Tamandua tetradactyla: one gene and its partners. The protein of the gene in region 2 binds, or shares a complex with, the protein of the main gene of each other region. Links are inferred from orthologs where the notes say so. Each region holds a gene or a part of one and is shown on either strand. Other genes may lie near its edges.

Evidence for each region.
Region 1: the proteins of NALCN (region 2) and NALF1 are in contact, whole or in part, in a cryo-EM structure (PDB 7CM3), measured with the Homo sapiens proteins. The link is inferred for Tamandua tetradactyla from reciprocal best matches to the Homo sapiens genes NALCN and NALF1. Residues at the interface, in NP_001337678.1 of Homo sapiens: Cys207, Val209, Asn220, Leu222, Ala223, Ile224, Pro225, Thr227, Tyr237, Pro240, Phe243, Tyr406, Glu409, Phe909, Ala1044, Lys1045, Asn1047, Pro1049, Arg1054, Ile1060, Arg1062, Ile1063, Asn1064, Val1065, Ser1066, Lys1069, Lys1080, Lys1081, Gly1083, Phe1084; in NP_001073865.1 of Homo sapiens: Lys278, Glu281, Phe282, Val285, His287, Lys288, Tyr289, Leu290, Gln291, Glu294, Tyr295, Ser296, Val297, Lys298, Ser299, Tyr308, Trp311, Leu312, Gln315, Leu335, Gln338, Thr339, Cys341, Phe343, Ile344, Leu345, Pro346, Asp347, Asn348, Asp349.
Region 3: the proteins of NALCN (region 2) and UNC80 are in contact, whole or in part, in a cryo-EM structure (PDB 7SX3), measured with the Homo sapiens proteins. The link is inferred for Tamandua tetradactyla from reciprocal best matches to the Homo sapiens genes NALCN and UNC80. Residues at the interface, in NP_001337678.1 of Homo sapiens: Asn639, Met643, Val644, Ile646, Lys648, Leu649, Pro650, Phe653, Val655, Pro656, Lys657, Ile658, Arg659, Glu660, Phe662, Met663, Lys664, Gln665, Phe666, Ile667, Arg669, Val711, Ser713, Arg715, Ala716, Arg717, Leu719, Lys722, Glu723, Ala725; in NP_115893.1 of Homo sapiens: Lys1979, Asn2004, Glu2005, Cys2006, Asp2007, Leu2128, Arg2129, Leu2130, Pro2131, Pro2134, Arg2135, Ile2138, Asp2139, Phe2142, Phe2145, Ser2146, Glu2179, Asp2184, Glu2185, Met2187, Leu2188, Asn2191, Asn2194, Ile2198, Leu2199, Glu2202, Ser2226, Leu2227, Ser2228, Gln2231.
Region 4: the proteins of NALCN (region 2) and UNC79 are in contact, whole or in part, in a cryo-EM structure (PDB 7SX3), measured with the Homo sapiens proteins. The link is inferred for Tamandua tetradactyla from reciprocal best matches to the Homo sapiens genes NALCN and UNC79. Residues at the interface, in NP_001337678.1 of Homo sapiens: Gln349, Met350, Phe351, His352, Glu353, Gly358, Trp359, Gln360, Leu361, Phe712, Ser713, Ile714, Arg717; in NP_001333147.1 of Homo sapiens: Cys861, Gln862, Ile865, Glu968, Pro969, Asp970, Phe1020, Gln1022, Pro2088, Asp2089, Ala2092, Pro2093, Leu2095, Leu2096, Met2099, Leu2139, Pro2141, Asn2142, Gly2143, Ile2144, Gln2147, Leu2148, Ser2151.

What each region holds. Positions count from the first base shown.
Region 1 is NC_135330.1:177,385,639-177,393,296, reverse strand, and holds the start of NALF1 (NALCN channel auxiliary factor 1), read left to right. Parts: upstream 1-4,407; 5' UTR 4,408-5,126; coding exon 5,127-6,089; intron 6,090-7,658. UniProt on the Homo sapiens protein: Auxillary component of the NALCN sodium channel complex, a channel that regulates the resting membrane potential and controls neuronal excitability.
Region 2 is NC_135330.1:170,714,602-170,722,404, forward strand, and holds the start of NALCN (sodium leak channel NALCN), read right to left. Parts: upstream 3,358-7,803; 5' UTR 3,334-3,357; coding exon 3,226-3,333; intron 1-3,225. UniProt on the Homo sapiens protein: Voltage-gated ion channel responsible for the resting Na(+) permeability that controls neuronal excitability. NALCN channel functions as a multi-protein complex, which consists at least of NALCN, NALF1, UNC79 and UNC80.
Region 3 is NC_135329.1:185,114,168-185,122,270, reverse strand, and holds the start of UNC80 (protein unc-80 homolog), read right to left. Parts: upstream 3,050-8,103; coding exon 2,958-3,049; intron 2,038-2,957; coding exon 1,989-2,037; intron 17-1,988; coding exon 1-16. UniProt on the Homo sapiens protein: Auxiliary subunit of the NALCN sodium channel complex, a voltage-gated ion channel responsible for the resting Na(+) permeability that controls neuronal excitability.
Region 4 is NC_135338.1:54,433,994-54,441,951, forward strand, and holds the start of UNC79 (protein unc-79 homolog), read left to right. Parts: upstream 1-4,671; 5' UTR 4,672-4,792; intron 4,793-7,958. UniProt on the Homo sapiens protein: Auxiliary subunit of the NALCN sodium channel complex, a voltage-gated ion channel responsible for the resting Na(+) permeability that controls neuronal excitability.

The DNA of each region.
Region 1 (7,658 bases), about 6.7 Mb from region 2:
AGTAAACTATCAGATTAATAAATAATATTTTTACATCAATTGGTTTTAAATAATAACTGTATTTTCCCCCTTAACTTTGTATCAGGTAGAGAATTTAAAGAGATTTCAATATTTTATAGACTATTAAAATATGATTACTGATTCAATATATAGTTTTGTTTTTCTTTTAGTTTCTCGTGTATTGGAATAGCTAGAGGGAAATAACTGAAATTTTTCATCTGTGACCCAGTAGCCTGGATCTTGGATAAAAATTGTATAACAATAATAGCTTTTGTCATGTGACTGATGCTCCCTTTGTTCAGTGTATGGGTAGATGAGTAATAATATTAAGACAAATATATATACATATTATATATGTACATATAATGGGGGGATAAAGCATTTTGATTTTTTGGGTGTTCTTTTAATTTTCATTTATTTATTTGCAGTAATGAAAATGTGTACAATCCACAACCATAAGATGATGCTCTGAACCATTGATTGTATACTTTGAATGGTGTATATGGTGTGTGAATATATCTCAATAAAATTGCATTAAAAGAGAGAAAACACTATGGTACTATAAATATGTTATATTCTATAACAAGAAATGTATGACTTGGTGCTTATTCTAGATGAAGAGTTCTGCATTTAGTTCCTTGAATATACAAAGAAGATATAGCCTCATCCCTGATGCCAGAAATTCCCCCATGGATATATAAATTAGGGAACTTCTACTTTGAGACATTGAGTAGTTCTCAACAGGGGATGATTTTGCCCCCAAAAAATATTTGGAAATGCCTGGAGACATGTTTGGTTGTCAGAACTTGAGAGAAATGTGTTACTGTTAACCAGTGAGGAGAGCCTAGGGATACTTCTAAACAAGCTGCAAAGTAAAGGAGAGCCCCTACAACAAAGAATTATCCAACTGGAAATTTCAGTGGTGGAGAGGATGAGTAATCCTCTCAGAGAACTTGTAAATAGTTTGAGCCCAACAGCTCTGTTGGTCCTTAGCTTCAGAAGACAGCTTTGGGACTTGTACAAATCTATGAGACAACAGCAGGATCACTCAACAGAGAGCACAACTCCAGGCCAGAGGACACAAAATTTAAAGCTGAAAATAAATCTGGAGTGAGGTTGAGGGAATGTAGTTAGTATTAATAAAAAATAAAAGGTATACTGGCCACAGGAAAAGAAAGACTGGATATATATTTTAAATACAACATGATATTCCATTTCAGCAGAACTGTCTGCCACTTTCTTTTTTAAAGAAAACCTAAAGTGTTTATATTTAACCAATTATAGTTCTGTTAATTATAGTTCTGCTAATAAATGAACAAAATTAGGTGTCACCTAAGCTGAAAGTCCAAATGAAAGGTATAGAAGTAGATGGAGTCCAAAAGGAAGAAGGGTCGGGTGGGGGCAAGGGTCGTGGTACAAATTTGGGGAGTGGACGTCCATTTAGATATTTCAGACTTGGAACATTTACAATCATCATTTTGCTCTCCTTCCTCCTTCTGGAGTAAGAGAAGGGCTCTGTTTTTTTTCAAGTTTAAAAGCCAGTCTCTCTCACATGATCCCTGAGTCCTGAAAGTAGGTCTAAATCTGCCCTAAGCTTTTAGCAGAAGTTTCCCCAGCCCAGGGACACCCTTTGGGTTTCCCAGCCATAGGTTTTCTGAGGTTTCTATCTTGCATGCAGGAGAGAAAGAGAAATATAAATCTTTCTAGGCAGCATCTTTCAGTTAGTAAGATACAGCGTGAAGAAAGGCAAAGATGAAGGCGAATAAGAGAAAGAAGAGAGAGAGAGACAGAGATAGAGAAACTTGAACAAGTGAAAAAAAAAAAGGTTTAATTTTTAAAAAGTTCCAAACCTGAACTTATAAAAAGAAAAGCATAGGACTCTTGGACTTAATCTGTGTGACATCAGAAAGCCAAACTTCCAAACAAAAGGGGGAGAGAATGATTTCAGAATTTATAAAACAATGTGTTTTTACTTTTATGTTCTGCAAAATCTTTTTTTATTGAGAAATAGAAGTGTAAATTTCTGACATTATCTTCCAAAACCAATTGTTTACACAATAGAAGACGCCACTCTTTCTACTCATTTTGTCTACATGTGGTCTTTCAGATGAAGATCATATTTCAATTTGATTTGACTGAAGAGGACTGAAGTTTTAAATTTAAGAGAATATCATGAGGAGAGGGTGTAAAACAAAATAAAATATCTTCCAAGATCTTAAGCAACTTGCCCAAAGGATATCTTTATACAAATCGTCGTCCAAAAATACATATTATTCAATATCAAAGTAATTTAAATAATCAAAAGATAAAATTCCAAGATTATCTTCTCAGTTTAAGCAGGGTTCAGATACATAGCTTTCAATAAGTTTCTCACGTTTTACTTTCACTTTTTTGCTGATTTAAAGATGCTTGAAGGTAAGAGTAAACTCGCCATAGAAAGTATATCTGGTATCTTTCCATAGACAGTATATCTGGTAGTTTCTAGAGCTTTTATAAAAGCAATGAACTTCAACACAATTAAAGCCAATGTACCAGAATCGGATAGTTATGCGAAGATACTCTGAAACATTGCTGTGACATACTTATAGAACAGCCACCAAACTGGACCCATCTTTCCTGGCCCAGTTTAATACATATAGTTTTTAGGAAAAGAGGATTAACAATAAAATTAGGATGTATCCTGTTACGCCACAGAAGAGACTGGTTGGTTGTATCCTGATATTGTATTTTGCCACTTCCCATTTAAAAAAAAAAATGCTGTTTTTCTCCATTCCAACACCCGCAGTCCCTGACAAAGAAAGGTGAATAGGGGCGATGCACCCCTTTGGTTTCTAAAACGAGGGCACTGTAGCACTGCGGGTCTGAATGTGCACCCGGGCAGTGTATGAGGATCATTAGTAGCCGGGAAAGATCGACACAGCCATGTGCCCCGTGCAGCAAACTGCAGGTCATAAGCAGCCACCAGAGAGAGCTCTTGACAGCGCAGCGCTCCTTCTGGAGCCAGTACAGAAAACTCCCGGCACCAGCCCAACATTCCAGCTCGGCCGGCTGCCGGTGAAGGTGGGGGATGGGGGCCAGAGTGGGTAGGGTTTTTGATTAAAATGATGTTGCAGTTTGCTTTCAACAATAGCCGGTACGCGCCGGGATCGAGGGGACCCCAGATTTTTCCAAGCTTGTTGGTTGCTTTGCTTCTCGGTAAGCCCAGAGCCAACGCTAAGGGGCACCAGAGACCCGGACTGCGGTGACTGACTCCCAGGCAGCCAAACTCAGTGTTGCGGAAGTCCTGGGGAACAGAAAAACCCACCTCGGTGGGGGCTGGGATGCAGACAGTCGACTTGGGGGTGGGTTGGGTGGTTTCGCAAGAGCTTGGGGCGCTCCAAATCGAAGGAGGAATCCCCTGAGGTTAGGACCCAGAACTGGAAGAGCAGTGCAAGGAAGTGACTCGAGGTAGTGGAGGTTTTCGTGATTTTCCCAAAGACTATGAGTCTTCTACTTTCGAATGTGAAAACATAGACAGATACGTAACTGTAATAGATGCATATGGCTACACACACATACACGCACATATATATCGTCCTTTCCTTGCAATAAAATAAGTTAACACCGTTAGCAATTGATCTCCAGGAGTCCCGAGGCACATTCAAAGAGACCAAATGTCGCCAGGTCTCTCCTCTAGCTAGTGTTTACTCCCCTGATTCCCACCCTTTAAATTGAAGTAGACCATTCACTAAGACGGCAAAACACAGGCCCTGCCCCGCCCCCCCCCCCCCCCACCAGCGACCCCTACACACCTGCCCGAAACTCATACTTTTCCCAGGGGTGGAGAGGAGCGGGAGTGGTGAGATGCTGAAGAAATTAAACCGCAACCCCAATCATACAGTCCACCTGCTGACTTTTTTTTTCCGTGAGAAAAGAAAAAAAAAAGGGGGGGGGAGGTAGGGGGAGGCAGAAAGAGAAAGAGCAGGAACCTGCACCCAGGGTGCCCAGGTTGGGGGACACTCCCCAAAGTCGGCCCCCACCTCCTCCTCCTTCGCCCTCCTCCTTGGGCCGAATCTGGTGCCAATGCGCCAGGATGGAGCGATCTCGGAGCGGGAGGAGATGACGCAAAAGCCAGCGCTCCCCACCCCCCCGCCCCCCAAAAAAGTGTTTCTTCAGGACGAAGATGGCGGCAACTTAGCCCGGGGACTGAAGATGACTGTGATTCTCGAGAGACCCAGCCCAGGCGATTCGGCCCCGAGGTCCGGGGGAGACGGCGCGCGGCGGCCGCCGCAGCAGCCCAGCAGCGGCGTCAGCAGCGGGAGCCCGGGAGGCGGCGGCGGCGGCCGGCAGACCTGCGGCAGCGGCGGCGGCGGCGGCGGCGGCGGCGGCAGCAGCAGTTAGAGCGCGGGGTGGGGGGTGGGGGGGAGGGAGAGCCTTGCCGGCGGCTGCTGCCCGGGCTCTGGACTAGGGGAGAGAGAGAGAGAAGTAGGAGGAGGAGGAGGAGAAGAAAAAGAAGAAGGAAAAGAAGGAGGAGGAAGAGGAGGAGAAGAAGAGGAGGAGGAGGAGGAGGCGAGGAGGAGGAGGGGAGGCGCTCCGGTCGCCGTCAGTGGGCAGCGAAGACGCGGCATGCCCCTGGCGGGGGAGAGCGGGCTGCCCTCAGCCGGACCATGGGGACCCGCGCTCTGACCATGCCTGGGTGAGAGGAGCAGCGCCAGCCACCCCGCCACCTCCACCATCACCTCCCGCACTCAGCCTCACCACCGGCCACCAGCACCAGCCCCCTCCGCCTCTTCTCTCATTCTCTCTCTCTCTCCCTCTCTCTCTCTCTCTCTCTCCCTCTCTCTCTGCATTATTGTTTCTCCCTCTACAGAGAATGGGGTCTGCTGATGATTAGGTCGGAAGCAAGTCAGATTTTCCTTCAAAGCCTGGTGATATTTCTGTAGGCAAAAGAAGAGAGAAAAAAAAGAGAGGGAGAGAGTGTGAGAGGGAGAGAGAGAGAGAGGGAGAGAGAGAGAGAGAGAGAGAGAGAGAGAAGAAACGGGAGGAGGGGATAAGGAAATTAAACCCTTTAAGTCAATGCATATTGTGGTGACACCGGCACAGGAGCCCTCACGGTGGAGTCGGCCAGGGCTGTGCGTTCCCAAAATATGACCAGGGGTGCTTGGATGTGTCGGCAGTATGACGACGGCTTAAAAATTTGGTTGGCAGCACCCCGGGAGAACGAGAAACCGTTCACCGATTCAGAGAGGGCTCAGAAATGGCGACTGTCTCTGGCATCTCTCTTGTTTTTCACAGTCCTGCTCTCTGATCACTTGTGGTTCTGCGCCGAGGCCAAATTGACTCGGACCCGGGACAAGGAGCAGCAGCAGCAGCATCATCAGCAGCAGCAACAGCAGCAGCAGCAACGGCAGCAGCAGCAACAGCAGCAGCAGAGGCAGCGGCAGCAGCAGCAGCAGCAGCAGAGGCAGCGGCAGCAGGAGCCCTCCTGGCCGGCGCTCCTGGCGAGCATGGGGGAGTCCTCGCCCGCCGCCCAGGCACACAGACTCCTCTCCGCCTCCTCGTCCCCCACCCTGCCCCCCTCCCCCGGCGACGGTGGCGGCGGCGGCGGCGGCGGCGGCGGCAAGGGCAACCGAGGCAAAAACAACCGGAGCAAGGCTCTTTTTCTAGGAAACTCTGCCAGACCCGTGTGGCGCCTGGAGACTTGTTACCCCCAGGGCGCCTCTTCGGGCCAGTGCTTCACGGTTGAAGATGCGGACGCTGTGTGCGCCAGGAACTGGAGTCGGGGGGTGGCTGCCTTGGGGGAGGAGCAGCAGGTGAGAGGGAAGCCTCCAACTCCACTCTGGAACTTGTCGGATTTTTACCTTTCGTTTTGTAATTCCTACACACTTTGGGAGTTGTTTTCGGGGTTGTCCAGTCCCAACACTTTGAACTGCAGTCTGGATGTGGTGCTCAAGGAGGACGGCGAGATGACCGCCTGCCGGCAGTGCGTCGAGGCTTACCAAGACTACGACCACCACGCTCAGGAGAAATACGAAGAGTTTGAGAGTGTGCTCCATAAGTATTTACAGTCGGAGGAGTACTCGGTGAAATCGTGTCCTGAGGACTGTAAGGTAGGAACAGTGGATCGCCACCCCACCCCACCCCCTTCCTGCTCTTTTCTATCTTTGCTTGCTCGGTTTTGGCTCTGGTTTTGTTACTTCAGTTGCTACCGTGATTTTAAGATCTTAAACTTCTGCTTGTTGTCAGGGACCTGGTGGATTGATTTCTTTTCTCGGTAACCCCTGGAAGATCGGAGAAGACCCCAGTCTTCTGAAATAATAAAGCTGCTACTATAACTTTCTCTTAAAACCAGGCTAAATAGACTTTAAGTCTGTTTCCTTCTTTTTTGTTTTTAAATATGGGATTTGCACTCGTCAGGAGGACAGCGATAGGAATGCATACTAATGGCGACAGTTAAAGTTAGAAGACAGACAGGCCTGTATGGTCTGACAAATGGATTTGGACACATGAACTCTGTTATAGTGACATCCTTAAGTTGAAATGAGGGTCAGGAAGTGTTTGTAGCTGTTCATGGAGGGGGAAAAAGCATTCTATTGTTTTACAGGGGTAGTTCTACTTGTTTGGAAAATCTGGGGGCCTACCTGAGTTTATTAGTCTCTTTAATTTTCTTTTTTTTTCCTTGAAATTTTCTATAATTATTGACCTGAGAATAACTACTAGTGGAGAGGTGTAATTAGGAACTTAGTGATTGTTTATCAGTGCCAGTTTATTTATCAGGCATCTTATGTAATTAGCTTGAATTTTCAGATTCTCACTAGAATTTGCAAATGACAAAGCCTCCATGTTAAGAATGAAAATTTACCAAACTCTTCACTGACTTGCATTTTAGTCACCCTCTGTTGGATATACTTGAGAATAAAATTCTTACTGATTGGCAAGGGAGAAGTGTATGCAGGTTTCCTAAGAAATGGCCAATGCCACTATCCCTGCTAGCTTTAAGGGGAAAGCCGCTGTTCGTGGTGCTGAAATGCGATTGCCCAGGAGCTCTGGTGAAGCTCAAGATACTGCAGTGACCTTTAGTAGGGGAGCAACGAAGACAGAATCAGAGTAAGCCTAAATGTGCCTAAATGTTTCTAATATTTACAATAAGAAATATCATAAAAGTAGAATAGTTTTCAAAATATGTACTACACAACACTCTCTCTCTCCTTTTTTCTTCCCTACTTTCCCAACTCCTCACACAAATGGAGCAACTCTGCCTCTTTGCCTGACTTGCTTTTGCTAGGAAAGTGCAATCAAGGGCAGGATGGATAAAAGGATCTTGTGATATTTTGACAAGATAACTGAGCTAATGGATATTTATTAAAAATTAAAATAGTTCAAGGGCCAGTTTTTACTTTGGGTTGATTAGTTGTGCATTTGATAATTATGCTTATCTCAAGTTAACCCTGTTTTGTCAACATTCTTTAAAAGGAGATGTAGAGATCCTCTTTGAAAGTAGTAATGCTGTGGTTATAACATTAATTTAGAATGCTACTTCATTTGATAAATGGATCTTAAACTTAATGCATTTTTCCCATATCACTATAATTCATGTCAGATTAGAATTTATCTTAATGGTAGAAATTAAAAATGAATGACTAGTGCATTTACTGAATAATATTATTGTGACAAGATGT
Region 2 (7,803 bases):
CAAGATAAATGATAGAAAACATAAGAACTCTGAGGAAACTCATGCTCTCATAATGGTGAGCAGGTTATAATATTTATCGGGAATTTATAATATTTGCATGAAGAGATAATGCTACTAGTCCCTTACCAAGTAAGTCACTGGTAATTTAATCGATTTTAAGAGTTGATGTTTTTTATGCAGTATGAAAGAGCTTCAAAAAACATCAGTGTGCCCTTTTTAACATGAAGAAGTTAGAATGGTCACTGCCCCAATATACCTGAACAATGGGAGAAGGATCAAATGAGATGGAGGAGGTGTAACTGACTAGATTATGGCTACTGACACATTACATTGATATGTATTTTTAGTCTAGTATATTAGAACTGCTAGAAGGAAATACCTGAAATTGTGGAACATAACATAATTTGAAATTTGCCTATAACTACTTGTTAAACTGTGCTTTGAAAGTTAAAACTTTTCTGCATATTTGTTATATTTCACAATTAAAAATGTTTTTCTTTATTCTAAATAAAAAATCAGTGTATGAATTTAGCACCATGAGGGTTTCCAACATAATGGATCTAATTATAGGAATGAACTTCAAAGGTGAATTCTTCTCTATAATATCCAGTTTTAAAATGTGAAGAATTAAAAATTAAGCATTAATGTTTTAGTAAGTGACTCATAGGCTACAGCTAGAATACAATTTTCTTCAGAAGTTCTCAGAAAGCTATATATATGGGGTAATATTGAGGTTCATGTGCCAAACTGGTGAGGGGATGGTGTCCAGTTGCTCTGCCGCAATGGACTTAAATCATCAGGATGTGAAATTCATCTATAGCTAATTACATCTGTGGTCGGCTAAGGGGAGTGCCTTTCACAATGAGTGAAATTTGATTTAATTAGCTGGGAGCTAAAAACAGAGTGGTAAGAAGAGAGCTTAGACCCAGACATTGGGAGATGCAGAAAGGAATTGCCTTGGGGAAAGCCATTTGAACCCAGAAGCTGGGAGGGAAGACCAGCAGACATTGCCATATGCCTTTCCATGTGACAGAGAAACCCAGTGGAAAGCTAGTTGCCTTTCCTCTGAAGAATTGTAAGTTTGTAACTAAATAAATCCCCTTTATAAAAGCCAGCCGATTTCCAGTGTATTGCATTCTAGAAGCATTAGCAAACTAAAACAGATTTTGATACCAGAGGAGTGGGGTGCTGCTGTGTTTGCAAATACCAAACATGTTGGAACAACTTTTTAAATGGATAAGGGAGGGATTCTGGAAGAATCATGAGGGGGTTGATAGAGAAAGTCTAGATTGCTTTGAAGAGATAGTTGGTAGAAATATGAACTCTAAAGATACTTCCATTGAAGCCTTCGACAGAAATATGGAATGTGTCACTGCAGATTGGAAGGAGGGTGACCCTTGTTTTAAGGTGGCAGAGAATCTGGCAAAATTAAATGCTGGTGCTGGATGGAAGGGAGAATTTGAATTCAATGATCTGGGATGCTTGCCTGAGGAGATTTCTAAACTGAATGTAGAAAATGAAGCCTGGTTTCTCCTTGCAGTTTTTAGTGAAATGTGACAAAAAAGGGATAACCTAACAACTGAACTTTTGGGTATAAAGAAACCAAAAATTGATGTTCTGGAAAATTTGGGGCTTCCAGAAAGGGAAACTGCAGAGAATAGTGCTCCATGTGAGGATTTAACCAAACATGGAACCAGTCGGTCATTACAGGACAAGTGAGGATTGGAGATGAAGTTATTAAGAAAGGATTTGTGGAAGGTCCTATTTTCTGATGGCTCTGATCCCTTTATTCTCTATATCTTTCAATTTTCTATAAATGAAGGCCTATACTATGTGTCAGAAATTATGTGGGACTCTGAGGACATAGAAATGGAAACAACACAGTTCTGACCCATTACTATTTCATAGTCTAATAAAAAATACGTGTATGTATATGTGTGTGTGTATATATTTTTTTTAATATATATGTATATATATATATATATATATATATTACATATAGGCAAATATAAAATAGAATAATTGCTGCAGAGGAAAAAAGTTCATTTTATCTGTGGTGAGGAGGGTGAAGTGAGGAGGCTTTCAAAGAGACTTGAGGCTGTGGTAACATCTGAGAAGGCCTTATTGGATGAAGAGGATTTCACTCATCAGAGGAGCTTGGAAAGGGCTTTCCAGGCAAGGGAACAGCATGAGCAAAAGGAGCAAATGCAAACAGCTTGAGAACTTGGAGGAATAAGAAGTCACCTGAGGAAACTCAAGCATAGACTGTACAGATAAGGGAAAGGGGCAGTCACCGGACAGCTGAGAGCCAGAGAAAAAGAGTCTTGAATGCAATACTAACACATTTAATGTTACAATGTAGCAATAGGGATGTTTCACTGATTGTACAGCAGAAGGTAATGTGAGAAAATCTGGGTTGTAGAAGGAAATCTCAGTCAAGTGGGGAAGTAATCTAGAAGAAAGATTGGAGGATGAAAGATTCAGAAAGGGCAGGGAGATGAAGCATTTCTCATAGTTGGGGAAAGAGACTGAGAATGGTAGCAGTTCTGTCATTTCATTACCTCAGCCTCCACTATGAGTTTAATAATTAAGTTGCTCCTACTTTGTATTTAGAGCCGAGTTTCCAAGACCCATTAATGTGCCATTTCAGCTTAGTTCTGGTTGTTATACTGTCTAGTCTACAACGATGCCTGTTATAGCAGATCCTCCCCTCAAGTTCTCACCCAGTTTCTCATCAGAGAAAGTCACAAAGTTCTTCATTGACACTATTCGCTAATTCATTAACCTTTATTTGTAGTCAAACCTGCACCTCAGAAGGAGACCTTAAATTCCACACTTTTGATTATTTTCTCACAGATTTTTATGCAGGTTGCAAGCTATGAGTAAAGAAAGTTTGTGAAGAACAGGCTACTCACCTTGACCTCCAGCTTTGGACCAGCCTGAGGTGTGGTATATTCTCTATCTGGCATGCGATCCTGGGGACAGGGTGTGCAGATGGGGGAGGGGGGAGCCAGAGTGCCTCACATATGTTCCCATATGAGTAACTCACAGTGACACCTCAATTTCATTTGAATTTTCCTCAGCCCCCAGACCCCAAATCTCATCCTACTCTACCACAGCTCAAAGAGACATTTCAAAGCCAAGGGTACATGATCTGTGAATTATATGAATCAAATTTTCCTTATATGAGCATGTGCTCCTCTATACTTCAAAAAAGAAGCTTACTGGCTTGTTAATCCAGAGTATGTCAGCGTTGTCTGAGAGAGATTCATCAGGACCAAAGTCTGTAACTGGCTGGGCTTCCACCCTTGAGCTCTGCTTCCTTTTGAGCATGCTGAAGTTAGCTTAGGCTAGTAAGTACAAAACAACAGTCTAGGAAAGGAAAGAGAAAGCTGTATTAGTCATTCGAACCATCTTTACCCTTATCAACAAACAAAGTTGGAGTCCCCTATACATGTTTATGCATTTATAGAGTATATATACATGTTCTACTATATTGCATATAATAAAACACATGCAAATCAAAATTTTAAAAGAATGTGGTAAAAATTAATATTCACACAAGCTTTCATTTTTTTTCCTTCCCAATCCAACAGGCCACCTGTGCACCTGCTGGTAGATCCCAGTTAAGACAGCACTGGTCAAGCCCAGCTAGAGTAAAATATGCTTGCCTCTTAGAGCACATGTGTTATTAGGAAATGCTGAGGTATGTGTACATATACCAGGAGCTATATCCATTTAAATGTGGACTGTGCCAGTGTACTGTCTAATCCAGATGAAATACATATAGCTCCCCCAGGGTTTTCTCCTGAGTTAATTTAATATGGCGCTCATAGACATCTCTCTATTCTGATGGTATTCCCAAATTAATCTCTCAATTTCACCCTTGCCAAGAGTAAAGGGTCCAGAGAGAATGGGGCATAGCCTCCTCCACTTTAGCCTCCTCCACTTTTTTTTATTGAATGCTATAATTATTCCGAAACTTCTAGCTACTCTGAAGTAAATCCCTTATCAAATTACTTTGCAGAGGGAGTTGAGACACCCGCTTGTCGTTTAAGTTTCACAATTTTGTATAATATGCATCCTGCTACATCTTTCACCTTCCTGTGACCATCATCACTACCTTCCAGAACTCAGTAGCCATTGAAGGAGGGCCTGTTATATGTCCTTCAGGACATCCATAGCAAATGAGTGCAGTTTAATGTGAGAAGAGACATTATAAAAGCTGCGGGGGTGGTACCTTATTACCCGAGTCCACAGTGAGACTTCTCACTTGATTAACACCTGAATTAAGACTTAAAGGAAGGAGAGAAACGATTTTTTAATATAAACTAGGTTTTGGCCACTTAGCAATGATCTTTTATTTATTCTTTGTAACAGTCCTTGGAGAGGCAATATTTCTCCTTTGTATGGATGCACAAGAAATCCCAGCCTCAAAGCAGGCCACAACTTGACCAAGCCCACTTAAGCAAACTTGAAATTTAAAACAAGCCCTGTCTTACAACAAAGTCTAAGCTGGTTATAGTCAACCACGCTGATTCTGAGGACTGACTGGAAGAATTTCTAAAGGCAGGGAAGGAAACGGACAGGGCTTTCCAGCTAGCATACAGTTGTGGAAACGCACTGCTGGGAAAACAGCAATTCTAACACCAAGAAGCTAGACTTGTTCTCTGCTGCTTCAAGGAACTAGAGGAAGAAAACTAACTGAGAACAAGAATGCCAGTCAGTACCTACCAGAACACAAAAAAGCAAGAATGTGTTCACATGGGTATAGGAGGGTGCAGGATGCATAAATGTGCGTAATCACAATTTTCACTGGGAAAAAATGACAATGCAGAAGCTCAAGGCAAAGCTGTTTTGAATCTGTCTCCCCACGTTTGAGTGTCCTCCTCTGTTTCTGTGTTTTTCTTAATCCATGTGGGCTGCCTGGCCCTCCAATTCCCAATGAAATCAAGCTATTGGCTTTCAGATATGCTTGGTATTTGAAGTCTGTCAGGCTCTGAATATTGGGTTTGAATATGGGCTTTGCAGTGAGCTGCAGTAATTAATTTTATTTTACATAATTGGAGTTAGCAACTTTTGACACCGATATGTAAATATAAGCAAAATATTCAAATGATCCTTGTTCTCTGATTTACTGTGGTAAAAATCTGGTGGTGCCAATTTGGGATGCCTCTTCAACAGTCTTCCCTGTATCCAAAGACTGGATGTAAATTTTTTAAAGAAATCTTATAACAGTGGAGAACAGAAAATAAATTTCACAATGTTGTTTAAGGATTAGAGGAGAAAATTTTAGAGGCCTAGACACAATACTTCCTTCACCAGGAGTAGAGACTTCAAGATGGCCCTTTATTTGCAATGATCTGGCAATCATTTATGGTCAGGAAAATTTCTGATGTACAAAGTGTCACCTTAACACATGCATTTGATGTACCTTTTATTATGAATATACCACCTGAAGCAAAAATGATTTCGTTTATTGATTTGCTTACCTAGAGAAGGACACACGCAGAATTTCTTTTAAACGTCCTCAGTTTGGTTATATTTAATATATAACCAAGTCAGTACAAGTATAAATGAATGATATTATTTTTCACCCACTTTTACCCTCATTTTATCTGCAGCAAAGGTGCTACCAAATCAAAAAGTGTCAAAGACACTATGTTTACAAACTTCAAAGGAACTTGGTTAATTTATATATATATAAAAAAAACTCAGCAATTATCTCCTAAATTGGAGAAATCTTGAATGATTAAGTTATATATAATTCATATAAAGCATTCAAGTAGCAAAATAAATTTGTTACAAACATTTAAAGAATCCAAATAGATGTGAGGTGGTTTGTTTTAATACTTTTCCTTTGCACACAGAAGTGTAGTTTTAAAAATTCACACATGTTGAATCAACACAATTGACTGCAGCAAATCTATTTTTCCCCTGATAAGGACCGGTAAGGATAGCTAAGTCTCCCAGGTAAGCTCATTATTTTGAAGGGAAATTGCTCTGTGTTATCCTAGTCTTATCACTATTATGTATGAAAAAGCCAATATATCTTTTCTGTTTATAGAAGTATCCTTCACAAGGCAGTGCACTAAATTTGAAAAATACAGCTTTTAACAGCTTTTTCACATGTATTAAAAGAAATTGGTATTTAAATAATTCAATAGTGAGATAGAGGCTGCACGGTTACAATATGGTTATTGATAAATCTTTCACTTGGAAATGGCTTATAGCAACTTGGGGAGAAAATAAACTTTGGTTCATTGCTCTCTTTTAAGATTTTGTATTCTATGATAGCAATTTTATTTCTATTGGCATATATTTTCTCTAGATCATTAAGCTCTTTCTTGACAAAACAAAAGCTACAATATTCAGTTTTGTTTAACTGTGAGGTGCTTGTAATTCTACAGGTAATTTCCTTTCTTTGTAACTCTCCTGGGTACACATTCAAGTCTTTTGAATGGTCTCATTCTATCTTTTAAATTATAGTTTACAGCATGTCCTTTTCCTGCTGTCTCTTGTGCCTATCCTCTATATTTATGCCATCATATGTTCTTAAAGTTTCCATTACTATCAGCTGGTGTCCAGCTACTATTAATGAGTCACATATCTGTGCTGCTTCTCCTTCAGATACAGGCCATATCAACACTATCATCCTTAAAACTCAGCATCATAAAATCAGATATCCTTCTGCTTTATGCTCTTCTATAAATTCCCAGATCCTTATTGCATCATAATTTTTTGCCCCTCCACCCACCCCCACATGCAGTCAGAAGGATGGCAAAAACACCCTTTATACCTATTCTCAAAGATAACTTCTTATTCATTCCATGTATGTCGAATGGCTTCTTTTAATTTATTCCTTACTAGGGTCTTTTTTGGTCATGATACCTCACATCTGGACTGCCAGAAACATGAGCCATTTTAATATGGCTGTTAAAGGACATATATAAAAAATCAACTTCCCAATACACTGACACTATCTCTCCGGTGGCCCACTTGTTTTTCACTTATTCATTCATTCACACAGTGATTATTAAGCATTCACTATGGTATCACGTATTATGCTAGGCACTGGAGATATACCAGTAAACAACAATTCTTGGAGTCTATAGATTACCTGTTTTATTTAGCCTTATGACTCCAGGACACTAGTTCCACTGGTTTTTACTTCACTTTCTTTCATACTTACATCCACATGATCCACTTGAATTGGTTAAACATATCATTATTTGCCATCCTCCAACCTATTCTCTTCTGCTTCAAATCCTTCATTCCAATTGTGGCCTCTGTACTACCAATCTGATATCAGGTTTTCCAAACTCCCTAACTTAACTCATGAAGAATTTTTGTCTGAGTGTTTGATTTGTTTGTTATAACAAAAAGATTTAATGCTTAGGAATTAGCATGTGACTAGGAGAAACTACCACTTTAGTAGATTCACAATACTTATTTTATTCTAAGAAGCCCTTAGAGAAGACAGAAGTCAGTAATTTATTTTTAATTATTCTATGTTATTAGAATTGTCAACACATCAACATCAACAACTACTCTTTTGATCATTTACATACACGAATTGTGGGGCTGTTATGAATACAAGTGAAATTATTTATCTGCCATCCTATTCATGATACATACACACAAATACATGCATACACGCATACACATATACTCAACAATGGGCATTTAGCTCATTGTGTTGTTTCCCTGTCACACTTTGAGAAGGTAATTAAGGGTAAAGAAAGTTAAATATCCCTCACTCCTCATCCCTGACTTTTGCTTTTATGTCTTTGCACATATGTA
Region 3 (8,103 bases), on a different chromosome or scaffold from region 2:
ACACTCGTTCAAAGGACTGCAGATACAAAAACAAAAACAAAAACAAAACAAAAGCATGTAAAATAAGGAATAAGAGATTTTCATTGGTGGAGAAGTGGACATCAAGGTACTATATACCTCAAAAGATGCAAATCACTAGACAAGTTCTTTAGAGTGTGTTCATATTGTATTTCACTGTATATATCAACATGCAAATCAGTGGGTAGTAATAATTTCCTACTATCGATTTACAGGTTTTGATCTAATGTATATGGCTTGAATTATTAGACAATTTTTGTTTCCTTCAAAATAAGCTTCCTCTGGCAAAAAGTACAATACCACACTTAACTTCATGAGATTTTGAGTATAATATTTCCTAAAATATTGCTGAGTCATCCAAAGGGGTTATCACACCTGCAGATAAAAGTGAAGTTACTAACCTTTTGCTAAAGTGTCTAGAGGGCCAGAATTTATGTCAATATTCAACAGGTGTTAACTAAGATACAACTCTTTTAAAAATCTGATTTTGTGGTCTTTGATTTAACCTGTGTCTTCAACAATGGCCTGTTACAAGACACTCCTTACCTAAAGTCTGGCACCATAGAAGACACTCAATATATCTGTTGAAAGAGGAAGAGGAGAGGGAGAGGTAGGGAAGGAGGGAGGAAAGAAGATAGGAAGGGAGGAATGAAGGAAGGGAGGAAGGAAGGAAATAAAATAAGCAATTTTGCTTTTCTGGTTTGTTGATTCTTCTATCCTGGCCAGAGATAGTCTCGGAGAATGAAACATCAAATTATCAAATTATTCTGACTTGAACTAAATACAACAATAACTTACATTAAAAGTTCCTTATAAGAAAGTTGTATTTGAAAAAATTTCTGAGAAGTCTGAGAGGCAGACAATAAAAAAACTAATTCCTACTTAGAGAGAGAGAGAGAAAGAGAGAGAGGGGGAGAGTTTAACACTCCAGTTAGCTTTCACCATATTTTATGGCCCTACCACATTTCAGAATTTCCACCATATTTTGTGGCTGGCCCTAATGTATTTCAGAACTCCTAACCAGAGACGTATCTATGTAACAATTTGCAAATATGCATGCCAATATCTAAATGTGTAAGTATCTACTTTTAGGCTATAATATATGCAATGTAAAGACCTTTAGATGAGTTCTCAATTTTAATGAAGTCTGTGAAAAGTCCATTTTAAATTTTCTTGTTGATTTCTTGACTAATTTCTCACTGTGAAATGTGAGTTTTCAGGGACATGTTTACTTTGGAACTCAGGACAAGTGCACTCTACTTTGAATAAATATTAATAGCATTATTATCATAATTACTTTTTATTTTCTATTTTCAGGATTGGACAACACATGAAAGACATACAAGTTCAATACTTCATATTACTCTTTTGAGTATTCAAAGGCACTCTTCATATGAATTTTTATTATATAGCAGTCTTAACTTTGTTAGTTAAGGATGTGACTGCTATACTTGCTGGCAAGGTACTCCACTGCCCAGCTCTGTTATCACTCTAAATCCTCTTTTACTACTGCCTCCCTCCCCATCCCATCACTTACTCCCCACTCTAGTTTATGCTCCTTCCCTTTGCACGTCCCTCCCTTCCTTCCTTCAGATCTTTGTCTAGCAGTCACATTACCACGTAGACTTTACCCACACATCCCTTATAAAATGAAATCCTCACCCCATAATGATCCCTAATCTCCTTTCTGGCTTAATATTTCTCCAGAGCTCTTATCACCACCTGGCTTACAACGTATTTCACTTTATGTTTATGGCCTATCCCCACTTCCCCCTGGAATATAAACTCGATGTTTATTTTGATCACTGCTCTGTCCTCTGGACTTAAAAATATGCTTTGCACACAGTGGGAGTTTAATAATAATCGCTGAGTGAATTAATATTCACAAGCAGTATGATTTAACATCATTTTTTAGTTCAAGCTACTACATAGTATCTGAAATTAACCATTAAATGGTAAACATCACATACCACACAGGAGGCTTCATATTGCTTCCCCAGTTTAGGCCTCAAAAATGCACTGAAAAATTAAGAGATATTTGTTATAAATACAGGTAAAATAGTTTTAAGAAATCCCTGACTTTTTTTCATTGACTAGGTGTGGTGCAATGAGACTCAAATTTCATGTTTTCCCATAGCTTGTTAATGAGTAGATGTTGAACGGCTGAGAACATTTGCTTTTTCACATGTAATTATATATATGAAATAACATGCAAATCCCTATGGTTTTCTGTATCCACACTTATACTGAAGACTTTGCCTAATCAGATTCAAAATTTCCAGTGGTTAGAAGTGATACATTACACATGTGTACAGTCATATTTAAAACTGAAAAATGAACACGACTTATGGGTCATGATTTCCAGAATCTAATTTCCTATCTGATAAATCTCTAAATCACAACATTAATAAAGGAAAAATTGTTTCCTATTTATTGGAATAGATTTCAAACCTTTGCAAGGAAAAAAAATTATCTCAGGGGCTCTAACCAGGAAGGTTATACTGGCTGAATCCGAGCAAAAATGGTTAACAAGTGGGCATAGCAGATATTTGCCAAACAGAAGCTGGAAAAACAACAGGTCACTGGGCTGGAATTAGAACAGGAGATGGAGGGGGAATTGGACGCCGGAGCACAGGCAGTCATAATTATCTTCCTTAGTTCCCTCCCCCTCTTCCTAGGCTCTCTGCCCTCCCACCCCCTAAATGATGTGTATATTTATTCGACAACTGCCAATCTGCTTATCTTCAAACTTCATTGAAATATTTTTAAAATGCGTGTTTTTCTGAGGGTCCGAGGGCTTGTTTTCCAGCTCCAGAGAGGGAGCTGCAGGCTGTGATGCGGCCTCAGCAGCGGCGGCAGCGGCGGCGGCGGCGACCCAGGCGGCCCCAGGAGCGCCCCCAACCCAGGGCGGCCCGTGGCCCGCTCTCTGCGCCCCTCACCTGGTTTGCCGCCACAGGAAGGTCTGGATAGGCAAGGGGATGCCGCGGCCGCTGTCCTGCTCCTGGCCCTCGGAGCTCTTCCTCTTCACCATGATGGTGGCTCCCGGGAGTCCTATTGCAGGACCCAGAGCTGGCTCCGCGCTAGCCGCCGCCGCCTCCTCCTCCTCCTCCCGGTGCTCCCCCCAACTCTCATCCCCTCCTTCCCTGAGGCAGAGCGGACTATCTCCGCCCTGATCCCCCGTCCCTCTCCCCTTCCCCCGCACCTCCCCGTGCGTGGAACATGGCTGCGGGAGGAGGGGAGGGCTGGAGGAGCCGCGGAGCGGGGAGGGAGGCACTCGGAGGAGCTGTCCGCCTCGCCGCCCCCGCTCCCGCTCCTTGCTTTCAGCACCTCCCACTGTGGACAGCGGCCTTCGCCGGGCAGCCCCGGCCCAAAGGCGAGCCCGGGGTAGGTTCAGCAGCCGCGGGATGACCGAGGGGGTCAACGCTCTGCATCGCACGCTGATCCCGGTCCCCTGTACGGCCTCTTCAGCCGCCAGGATTAGGCTTCACCCTTCCGGGCTGCACCCCGGGACAGTACCCTGTCCTGTTTCCCAACCTCAGCATCAGAAGAACTGTCACGGTCTGGGGAGGAGGAGCTTTGGGGAACTGCAGAGCAGTCACTAACCCTGGCATCATTCGCACCTCTAGCAAGATTAGGAGTCCACTTTCCGGGTTTAGCAGGAAGAGTGCACGAAATTTTTTAAAGTGTAAACGATGAAATGAAGCAAGACTGGCAAGATAGAGAAACTTGAAAGTTCTCTGATGTGAGAATTTACTTTTTAATGATAGCCTCAAGAAATTGACCTTGTTTTGTCAAGGTGGTAATGAAAAGTTCCAAACTAAGCGATTGTAGTATCAGTGAAATGCACCTTGAGGAAGGACATTCAAATAGCATTTTGAGAAAATGTGTTTTACTACTGTGCATAAATATATTTCAGTGATCCTGTTTACCCTAGTGATATGGGTTATTTTCCCTCAGTTGTCATAGTAAAAATTCCTATAGAGTTTATAGTTGGCTAACTGTCAGCTGTATTATCCAATAGTAAAACATGGAGAAGGCTGGGGTGAAGCCATCTGAATAGAAAACCATGGTTGTAGACCCAACTACTCAAAAGCAAACAAACAAAACATAATCACACTCCTTTTTGAGCAAAGATATTGGTATAACCTATGAAACAAAGAATCAAATTCCATTTATACTTTCTGTATGACTTACCAAATGTGGATCTATACCATATAGTAAGACTTTTATGGCATATATTGGTACTTCAGCCAGAAATAAATTCTTCACTTACTTTTAAGAAATCATCCTTTAATACTAATATTAAAATATTGGTCTTGAAACAAAGAAAAATAGATTCTAAGCATGGTTTATTTAATTTATATTTATTGAGCCTATTTATATACCAAGCACTACACTATACTGACTCTTGCTTATAATGAACTCACAGTATTGAAGAGAAGACAACGATATAAAGAAAAGAGTACCATGGGAGAGATGACTGCAGGTTCAGTTACAGAAAAAGAGAAAATGCAGAAAAGATGGTCAGGGACCAGACGGAGAAAGGTTTAGAATGACAGATAAAGAGGTTTGGATGCACAGAAGCATGGAAGTTAAAAACTTCATTTGCATTTAAGTGTGATTGATGCGACAGCAATGTAAAAGTTGTTTGAAACAGGCAAGAGTATAGATGAGAACCCCAGTCTGGAGATTACAGGAAAATTCCATGAGATCCTGAACCAAAGCCATGATAACAGAGATAGAGATAAGATGAGTTTGAAAGACACTGCAGATATACAATATGATTTGATGGTCAAATGGGCATGCGGAAAGAGAATTAACAGCAAAGTGGCTAAGAGCCTGGGTCTTGAGCCATACAGTTTTGAATCCAGCCCTACTACTTACTAGATAAAATAACCTGGTAAAGTTAAAAACTCTGAGGCAAACCTCCCTAATAATAGCACCTTTCCCATAGAGATGTGAGGATTAAATTTCAATACATGTAAAGAAATTAAGAGAGTCCCTGATCTATAGTAAGCCTTCAATAAATATCAACGTAAGATCCAAGTTTTCTGTTTTAAGCAACTCAGTAAATGGTGATCTCATTCAAAGAGAGAAAAAGTTAACAGAGAAAATCATGCTGTTTTTTATGTTTGTGTACAGGAGCATTAAGAAATTTTCCTTGCGTACCTACTGGAAATCGCAACGGACATCATTAAAAGGCAGTTAGAAATGTAGACAGTGAGTTCAGAACAGTTAACTAGGTAAAATACATGGGTTTTGTGGTTGATATTCAATAAAAAAAGTAGAGAACTCATGAAAGCAGATAAAATAATGCAGATGAATATATGGAAATAGAAAAGAAAGGACGCAAGTTTTGGAGTACAGGAAACACCAACTTTTAGTGTCACAAAAGATGCTGATGATAGGTGTGATGGATTGGGTTTGGACCCAGTTTGGACATGTTCTCATGCTCTTGGTTTTGTTCCACATTCTGGTGGGTGTGAACCCATGGTAAACAAGATCTCTTTCAAGATGTTGTTTCAGTTAAGGTATGGTCCAACTGAATCAGGTTGGGCTTTAATCTGGGTTACTGAAGCCATTTATAAACAAAGTGAAAGTCAGATGGAGAAAAAGCTGCAGGGAAGAGCCAGAAGTGGAAGTCAAGAGACCTGAGAAGGCAAAGAGAAGACACCTTGTACACTGCCATGTGACAGAAAAGCCAAGGACTAAGGATTGTTGGCAGAAATCCCTTTGTTTGGGAGATTGTTGGGAGAAAGCATCACCTTGCTGAGGGCTCAATTTGGGACTTCTCCTAACTCAATACAACAAATTGCCACTGTTCAAGGCAACCACTGTATGGCTTTTTTTTTAGCAGCTGGGAAACTAAAACAGTAGACAACAAATAGCACAGGATACTGGTATAGGAAGAATTCTAAGATGGCCCTCAAGATTCTCATCCCCTGATATATACATCTTCTCCCAGTTATTCAATCAAATACTAATCTAGAAGCTGCTGTGAAAAAATTTTACAGATGTTATTAAATTCCTGAATCAACTGACTTTAAGTTTTATCTTTGGTTGGACTGACCTAATCGAATGAGCCCTAGATCTGGCTCTAGAGGCTAGAGATAGAAGTAATCAGAAAAATTTGAAGTTGCAGCAGATGTTCCCTTGCTGGCCTTTAAGAAATGAAAGCTGCCATGAAATCAACAGCTGCAGAACTGAATCTGGCCAACAATCTGAATGAGCTTGGAAGAGGACACCAAACCTCAGATAGGACTGCTGCCCCAGCTGACACCTTGATTTCAGCTTTGTGAAAACTGAAGCTGTTTTCACAGACTCTTAACCCAAAGAAACTGTGAGAAAATAACTTTGCTTTAAACAACTAAATCTGTGATATTTTTTTACACAGGAATAAATAACCAAAACACACACACCAAAAAGAAGAGATCAGAGAGGTCTAAGAAGCCAAGAGGGGGGGGAAAAAAAAAGAAAGATTCAGGATGGAAATAATGATCACATTAAAGTTCAAGTAAGAAAAAGACTGGAAAAAAGCTCATTGCATCAACTCTTAGGAGTTGATCAATTTAACAAAGAGTAGTTTCATTTCAGTTATGAGCATAGAAATAATATCTAGAAGACTGAAGAATAAGTGGAGAGTGGAGTTGGAAACCCAGCAAATGTTGATTAAAAATCAGTCAATGTTGTCTGAAAATAAAAGAAAGGGAAATACAAGGAGCAAGAGCAGATGCCATATAAGGACAATTTTTTTTTTAAATAAAAGACTTGAACATATTTATGGGTCAGAATCAAAGAAGTACTGAAGAAGTAAATATTGAGGACATTTGATAAAGGGGATAATTAATGAACAAGATTCTGGAAATTATATCTGGTGTAACAGGTGAACAGGTCATTTTTGAGTGAAAGACTGACTCCTCTTTTTCTGCATGGGAGATTAAAAGGAAGAATGGTAAAAGCTAGGTCTGTAAGGAAAACAGAAGGATGAGAATTTTGAGAGTTCAGGCTTAATGGCCTGCTTAAGTTGTGAAGTAATTGATAAAGTAATTTTCTTAATGTGATACTTGATGGGAGTGGAATAAAGTTAATTAAGAGCAGATAATGTTTATTGATCACTTTATGGTTCCAAGATCTGTTTTAAATGCAACTGATCTTCACACAAAAACATGTTATCACCATTTAAAAAGAAAACCAAGACAGGGAAAGATTGCAAAACCTGCCTGATGTTATATAGTTAAGTGAGGAAGGAACTGTGAAGTTCAATTTCAAAGTTCCTGCCCAACCTTCTGCTATAACATTGAGTATATTAGTGAGAGTTTGGAAGAATTGCCATGAGTTCCATAAATGGAAGTTGCTCAAGCACAAATGAAAGAATTGCTCTGCCGAGGGTAGAAAATGAAGAAGATGCTACATCATGATGCTTCCCATTCCAGAAAACCCTTTAGGCAACGAATCATCTGGGAGCAAAAGACATCTGTAATAAACACTGTCAAAATCAGTTTTTAAACAAACATTTTAGTGGAGAATCAAGATTACCATGCGTGCCGATGTGAAACTATTATGTACCCCCCAAAAGCCATGTTATAATCCTGATGCAATTTTGTGGGGCCAGACCTATTTTTTAGGTCTGTTATTAAATTCCTGAATCAACTGACTTTAAGTTTTATCTTTGGTTGGACTGACCTAATCGAATGAGCCCTAGATCTGGCTTTATTTTTTATTTATATAGTTTCTTATATAAAAGTTATAGAAACTTTTATTGTATTGTTTCCATGGAGATGTGACAAATCCAGTTGCGGATGTGACATTTTGGCTAGATTACTTCCATGGAGATTGACACACCCAATTGTGGGTGTGGTCTTTTGATTAGATGGAGATGTTACTCTACCCATTCAAGGAGGGTCTTGATTTTACCAGTGTTTTTTAAAAGGAGAACATTTTGGGGAAAATCCACATGCAGATGCTTGGAGAATAGTGGCTTCAGAGTCAAAAGTGCTGACAGAGCCAACATGAGACCCAGATGTCTGGTGATGCAGAGCCCAGCAAACAACACCATGTGCCTTCCCATGAAATGGGAAACAAACC
Region 4 (7,958 bases), on a different chromosome or scaffold from region 2:
AAGGGTGGGGCTAGTGAATTAACCATGCATTTGACTTGTGATTTCCAAAAAAACACAAAAAACAATAAAACAGATTTAGTTCAATATTTCATCTGGTTATTATGATGTTGCTTAATGAATTATTGGAAACCAATGACAAATGGGGAAAGTATTAACATTTAATGGCATAACTATATAAATGTAGCTTGGTGGAAAAGCCTGGTTTATAGCCAGTTAAAATATCACTTACTAGCTTTGCGCCTTTGGGTATGTCATTTACTCTTTCGCGTTTTGGTTTATTCAACTGTAATTGACAATGATAATAACCACCTGGCGAAGTTATTGTGAGGATTAAAAGTAATGTATATAGAGCACCTGGTACTTAGTAGGCATTCAATATATATTGTTACTATTCACATTTAATGATATGTACAATACTGGTGTGTAAAGAGAAATTCCACATGGCGATTTCTCAATTGTTATCAAAAGCCTTAAAATGAATATTTCCTGTTTGACTCAGCAATTCCTCAGCTAAAAATTTATTCTAAGGAAATAATTAACTATGTTTGCACATCCTTGAAAGGAAACTCTTTGCAGCATGAATTAGAATAGTGAAAAATAACCTAAAACAAGGATAATACACCAAAATGTTAATTATGGTCGTTTCTGAGTAATAGGTCTTTAGATGATTTTTATTTATTTGTAAGCACAAAAGCATTGTGCTTACAAAAGCTTTTACATTTATTATATTAAGCATACATAAATACATTTTTAAAGAGAGGAATAGGTTGCTGTTAAAATATTGAGTGGCAGGAAAATGCTTAAAATTTCAAGAAAAAATTTAAAACTTATGTACTATATGATCCCAATTTTACTAAAGTAGTTTTATATCTATGCCTGAAATGAATGAGAATTTTGTTTTTGTGGCTCTTTCAAAATGTACCAAAGCTTCTAAAAGATGGTGGGGGTAGGATGGATAGTGAAATAGTGGAAACAAAGATTTTACTTCTGTCTAATCTGGATAAGAGTCATCACTGTCTTAGAACCCCTTTTTTATTCTTCATTTTTATCAGTGTTAACCTTTTGCATTCTTGGCTACTTTTACAAAGAACCAAAGTTTTAATCACTGCTTAAAACCATTCTCTTCCTCCCTGCCTCTTTTCCTTTTGTCTTTAATAGGATGAACTCAACAAATTTAGTACTCACCAGACACTGGGTATATACAGTGTGAACAAAAGACATGATTATTGGAGCTCACTGTCTACTTGGGAGAGATAGTAAGCATCCACCCAAATAAATATATAATTACAAATTGTGCTAATTAATATAAAAGAAATGTCAGAGGAAAAATTGACATTGAGGGCTAGGTGGGGGCTAGGGGATCAGTTTATGACTGAGAAGTCAGCAAAGACCCCTCTGAGGTAATGACATTTAAATCCAACCCTGAAGCTTATATTATGATTATCCCCTTTTTAGAGATGAGAAAAACGTAAGTGGAGATAGAACCAAGACTTTCGTCCAAAACTGTTTGATTTCAGATCTCATACTCTTAACTCTTATTCATCCTTTTATAAAAATGCCTATATGATGGCTTCTGTTTTCTTAAGGTACAAGGAAGGAGGTGGGCATGGGGGAGTTTGAAGAGCCTGGAGAAGTAGTGAAATAGTGATTGAAGAGAGTGGAAGAAGTTTTCTAAAGAAATGTAGCTTTAGGGTCAATTGGGGTTAGAGATCATTTGTTTATCTCCATCCTGCCCAGTTAACTGAGTTTCTGCGGCAATATTCTGCTATTATGGTTGTTTGGTGCAAACGATAAGAACTCTGTGCTGCCATGAGGGTGCCATGTGGGCTTATTAACCAGGAAATAAGCATCTCTTGTGCACCAGATTAAAATGCAAATGAATTATAGTCACATCCTCAGTACAATTACAAAGTACTCTTTGTCAGGCCCTTTCTGGCTATTGTCAGAGTTGAAAACAGCAAAGTTAAATCATGACTTCCATTTAGCTGCATTCATCAATGCTCAGAGGAGCGTGAACATTTCTTCCTACCTGTTCTATAAATTGTCTTTCACAATTACTTACCACTTTCTTTCTTCTTCTCTCACCCCACTTTCTTTCTTCCTTTTTTTCCCATCTTCATTCGTTAATTATTTTTAGAGCACCTACTGGTGTCTGGCACTGGTAAGGATTAAAAGATCCCACAATTTGGCGTTGGGGACAGATATGTGTATGTACAAAAACAAAAACCAAGTGATAACTACTATTATTTAAGCATTAATTCATTTACTCATTTATCCTACAAGTATACTGAGCACCCACTAAGCCCCAGGCAGTTTGTTAAGCTTGGAATAGAGACATGAGTAAGATGCAATTTCTGCCTTCAAGAAATTTACAGTCTGGTATAGAAAAATGAAGAGGTAAGTAAACAAGCAAAGACAATATAATGTGAAGTTTGTAAAAAAAATATTAAAAGATTTCAAAGAAGGAAGTGACTGTAGCCTGTGCTTTCTCTTGATGTTTGGATATATTGAAAGGAGCTATTGTTGAATTTAACAAAATGAACCATAAAGAGAACACTCATTTATTCATTCATTCATTCATTATACAACCTTTTGAATGCTTGCTATTTTTGTTGTGTAGTGACAATTTCCTACCTCTTGAGCTATGAGCAAGTCAGTGAGTTATGGGATGTGTTAATTTTCTCCTCACTTGAGCTTATTTTCCACACATTGCATTTCCATTGGTATTTCTGAAATACTCTGCAGAAATCTACTGAATAATGAAGCCTGAGAAAAGTTACAGTAAGAAAGCATTACTGTGAAGGTGGATGGGCAGAAAGCACATGTCTCAGATGTTTGAAACTGGGATCTATGTAATAAGATGGGTGTTCCTTATAATGTGATTTAAAAAAACCATTAGTAGCTGATTAAAAACACTGAGATGAGAATGGATTTTTATAGATGACATACTTAAAAACATTTTAAAGCATTACCTATTTATACCTTATCTTGGGAAAAAATTTATTTACAACCAAACACTTTTAGGGTTATTTGAGACAATGGATATAAACTTGTTGCTTTCTTCAGAGCTGGTGGACCATACAAACCCAAGGTATTATTATCTGCAATCTAAATGTAATTTTTGGGGAAACTGCAAAACATATTATGGAAATAGTAAAAGAGAGAAAAGGCAAATTTGCTATATGGTGTATATGGGATTTAGAATCAATGATTAACCTAATCACAGCTGAAAATTGCCACACTGCTTTGATGTCATGGAATAAAACTCCATTATCTCCATATTAAACTCATTTCAGAATTGTGTTCTGAGAACTCCGAACTGGGTGTCAGGGGATCTAAGTTCTAGACCTAGTTCTGCTGCTGATTACCTGTGTGCCTCGTTTTCCCCATCTTTAAAATGAAGTGGTGGACGGTGCAATGGTGACTCAGTGGCAGAATTCTCACCTGCCATGCCAGAGGTCTGGGTTTGGTTCCCAGTGCCTGCCCATGCAAAAACAAACAAACAAACAAAGAAGTGGTTGTGGGAAAAGGTCTCTAAGATCCTCCCAGTTCTGATATCTCATCATTTTGTGATTCTACGTCCCACACCTATCAAAAGCATTTTGACTTTAAGTTGCTTAAAGCAGCATTTCAGTTAGAATTCATCCAGAAGCTTATTTCCATTGGGAACAACAAGGCCTTGCTTCTCCAGGACTTGATATATCTTCTGTTAACTGCTGACAGTGAGCCATACTACCTAAAAGGCTCTCTTGGTAGCCTTAAAGATTGAAAGGACAAGTGGACAGTGTTGAGAACTCTGTGGAAGAGGAGACCAGAGAGACGTTGATCATCATGGCTCCTTGGGATTTGCAAAGAGGAATGACTAGAACTGGGCCATTCACCACAGCCAGGTCAAAAGTCAGGTCAGGAATGTGGACAATGCTGGTGACTACAGGTAGGTCTAGGAGGGTAAATAAGTCTGTTTAGTCCCTCCTGAATCTTGTGATGATCTGAGCATCTGAGCTCAGAAGGCTCTTAGGAAGTTTCCTATTTTAAGAAATTCTTTGGCAGAAAAATGTGACATTCATTTTTTGTATTTTTATTATCCACACAATCATTGTATTCTTACTTAATATTAGCCAAGTTATTCTACTCTTAACATACTTTCACAATTTAAGCATCAACTAAACACTTTCATGATCATTTATTGAGTTAAAAATCTGCTTTCAACTGATGCCATTGTGCAATGGCCTCATTTTTTTAAATAGTATTTTTAGTCTGTTGCTGAAAGATCTTGGAAATTTCTTCTTCAGTTTTAGTTAACCAATATTAAGTATAATTCTCTGCTGGCAGAGATTTTTATCTATTAATACTTTGCTAATAATAAGTTAATGTGGGGATGATAATAAAATGATTTAGAGCACTGCTTTCTTGAGTGATAAAAAAGTAATGGATACTGTGTGAAGAGGATATTAACCCATATAACTCAAAATAATTTTGTGGGCTGAATACACTTATAAAAAATTTAAAGTCTTTTGTAATTGTTTCTATCATGGAATTCTAGTAAAATTTACATATTTTCCTTAAAATAAGCATTAAAATCCAATATTTGATCATTGAAAAAGAATAACTGTATGCCTAATACATATTACAAGATAATTCTCCTTTTTTTTTTATTTTGCTTTTATCTAGTTGCTTCTAAGATCCGGTACTTGCAAGAATATCATAACCGGGTTCTTCACAACATTTATCCTGTCCCTTCAGGAACAGATATTGCAAACACTCTGAAATACTTTTCTCAGACCTTGTTAAGGTAAGCTTTAAAATATCCTCTACTTTGAAAGAATTATTAGGTAGTACTGCTAAACTTATTGGGGCCTAAATTTGTATTGAATTGAAAGTTTTTAAGGGCCTTAGGTTTTCTAGTGCTCTGCCAGAAGAGTCTGGACTCAATTCTCTGGGTGTATATAGCATATTGGATCATAGGCTTGATTGAAAATAATGGGTTGCATGGCTATTGCCTGTTTTTCTCAGTTGAACAAATTTTCAAGAGATTTATAAAATGATAAATTGATAAGTTTGACACTAAAATAGAATGTGGTTCAAAGGAGAACCTTCATGGTTTAAAACTAAGAGTAAGAAATACCTTTGGTCTTCAGGAAAATCAGAATTAGCACTTTAGGCTCATCACTTGTATTTCCTATTTCTTGAAGTATAATGTATGGCAATAACAATTATTTTTATTCTGTGTAACTCTTTAGAGGATAAAGAAACAAAAGCATGGGAGCTCTTTTGATATTGTCTGCTTTTACCATAAGGTAGAGAGAGAAGAGGGCCCTATTTGCTTCACACTTCTCATTAGGAAAAACGAGCAGGCGATGAATCTGAAGTCTCAATTGCTTGGGAAATAACGTTGAAGAAAAAAGGACACTTCACTTTCCATAAAATCCTAAGTCTTGGTCTCCTGCATTACCATGATCTTCTTACTCCAAATCTGATTTTGGAAACATATAAGTTAACTTGAACTCTACTCTTTCTTTTAGCAATATCACAGCAAAAAAGTTCATAAAGCAAGTATTATTAGGAAATGAATGATTGTAGTGGGGCTGGATTTTTCCAGTGGTTTAAAACTTTGCCACAGTCAGGCTGAAGGCTTTGTAGAAAGAAGCTGCACATGGTCAAGCCTTTTCGGATCTGCTGCCTCAGTTTTCTTGTTATTCTTTAAACTTTCTTTTCTTCTTTAGAATTCTCTTTGTCCATTTCTGTTAAAAGGATTCTGGCAATCAGATTTACAAATTTCAAACTTGCGAAGTAAATGTAGGACCCTGTGAAAGGATATTCCCTTCCTTTCAAATTGCATTGGAAAAATGAATCCAATTTTTGTCATTATAATCAGAAAAGTTTATAAACCAAGGCATCTAATTCTGTTCTCTTGAATTCTTCTTTCATGTTTAAGGTCAGTCTTCCCCAAAGGTTTTCCTTTATTACAAATTCTGAAAGTTTTCAAAGTGAGGGATACTTCGTTGGGAAGCAGATTATGAATTCCATTTGCAAAGAAACCATGGCATCCTAGTTGGCACTTCGAATCTTACTGCCTAGGCTTAGTTATTGTGCCAAAGAGTTAAGAAATTTAGAATACTGAAGTCATGTTTGCAAGATGAAGATTCCATTTTCTTAAGCAATAGGTCATTGGAATATGGTCATGGGTGATAGTATTTTAATGATGAAACTGGTATTAAGGTAGTATGTTTCAGTGGCCTATCGGAAAAGATTTTATGCATTTGAGCAGAGTCCATTTTCAAAGGGAGAAAAATTCAACAACTACTACTAATGATATCATTATTATATGATTATTATATTATGAAGTGATTAGTATATTTCAAGTATTGTTCTAAGCACTTTCCATGAGTCATCTCATTTAGTCCCTTGTAATAATTCTATAAGCTCTTTATTATAGCCACTTTTATGAAACGAAGGTACAGAATGATTAACTTTCTCAAAGTTACATATCTCATAAGTGTTGGAACCAGGATTCAACCCTGGTAGGCCTAATCCATAACACTTGCTCTCAACAATTTAGCTATACTGCTTCTTTTTAGTACTACTATTTATCATACTCAAGGCATACTTTTAGCAAAAATCTTGTTTGGCCATCGAGAATTCTGGCATTGATTATGAGTCCATGGTATAGTTTCAGCTCTCTTTGAAATTAGAGGAAGAAAGGCAGTGCTTAGCCCAAAAGATTTGCTACCTTTTAGAAAGTTGAACTGTACATGAGATCTTGTGGACAGCGTATAGTTCCTAGAGGGTTAGTGCTATCTCCTACTCAGCAGTTAATTGTGTATGGAGTATCAGAGCAGGTTGAGAGCCTATAATGAAGGACACATACCCACACAGACACATAAATTATATTTCGAGAGTGGAAGGAAGAAAACACTAAGTAATGCAACGTCTGGGGCTGAATCAAATGCATTTTTTTCTTCTTTTTCTCTACTCCCAGCTGTTTTTTTTAATCCTTTAATTCCCTACAAATTTAGAATTTAAAACTATTGTTCTGTATCTTGGACCAAGTTACAATCACTTTTATTTTTGATGAATGTAATCTATAGAGAGTCATATTTGTGTATCTTCATTTTATTTATGCAATTAGTTTAAGCCAAATAAGATGATCTATGTAGTTGAGGTCCAAGATTATTGACAGTTAGATTTTGTGCACCAAATGAAATGGTTACTTTTGCATTTTATTTTTCAAGCTTCCATTCAATTTTTTTTCTTCTTTTGACATTCAGTTTTATACTTTTAATTTTGAAATACTTTCAAACTTATGGGACAGGTGCAAAAATAATACAAATCCCAAACAGAGAACTCCAACATACCCCTACCCCCAGATACCACATCCACCAGTTTTAATATTTTTCCACATTTGCCCTATCATTCAGTCTACTCATTGGTCTGATGATCCATCTGTCTATCTATTCATCTATCTGCCTGTCTGAATATCAGTCCATTTTTCGAACATTTGAGGGTAGGTTGTATACATCATGGTACTCGAACACTTAATACTGCCATATATGTTTCCTAAGAACAAGAATATTTACTTATGTATCCACTTTAAGTGCAGTTATCAAGGTGAAGCAATTTAGCACTGATATGAAGCTAACAGTGCATATTCTAATTTTTTCAGACATCCTGATAATCCTTTTGAGACTTCTCACCTCCCTTTTTAGAGCCCATCCAAGATCATGTATTTGCCTTCAACTTGTCATTGTCTCTTTTGTTGCCCTTCCTTCCTTTTCTCCTTTCTTTCATTTTAAATTGTGGGACTATATGTACAATATAAACTTTCCCATCTCAACCACTCCCAAGCATTCCATTCAGTGGGATTAATCACATTCACAGTGTTGTTGTACCCTCACCACCTTCCATTACTGAAACTTTCCCATCTCCCCAAACAGAAGCCCTACACCTGTTTTGCCTTA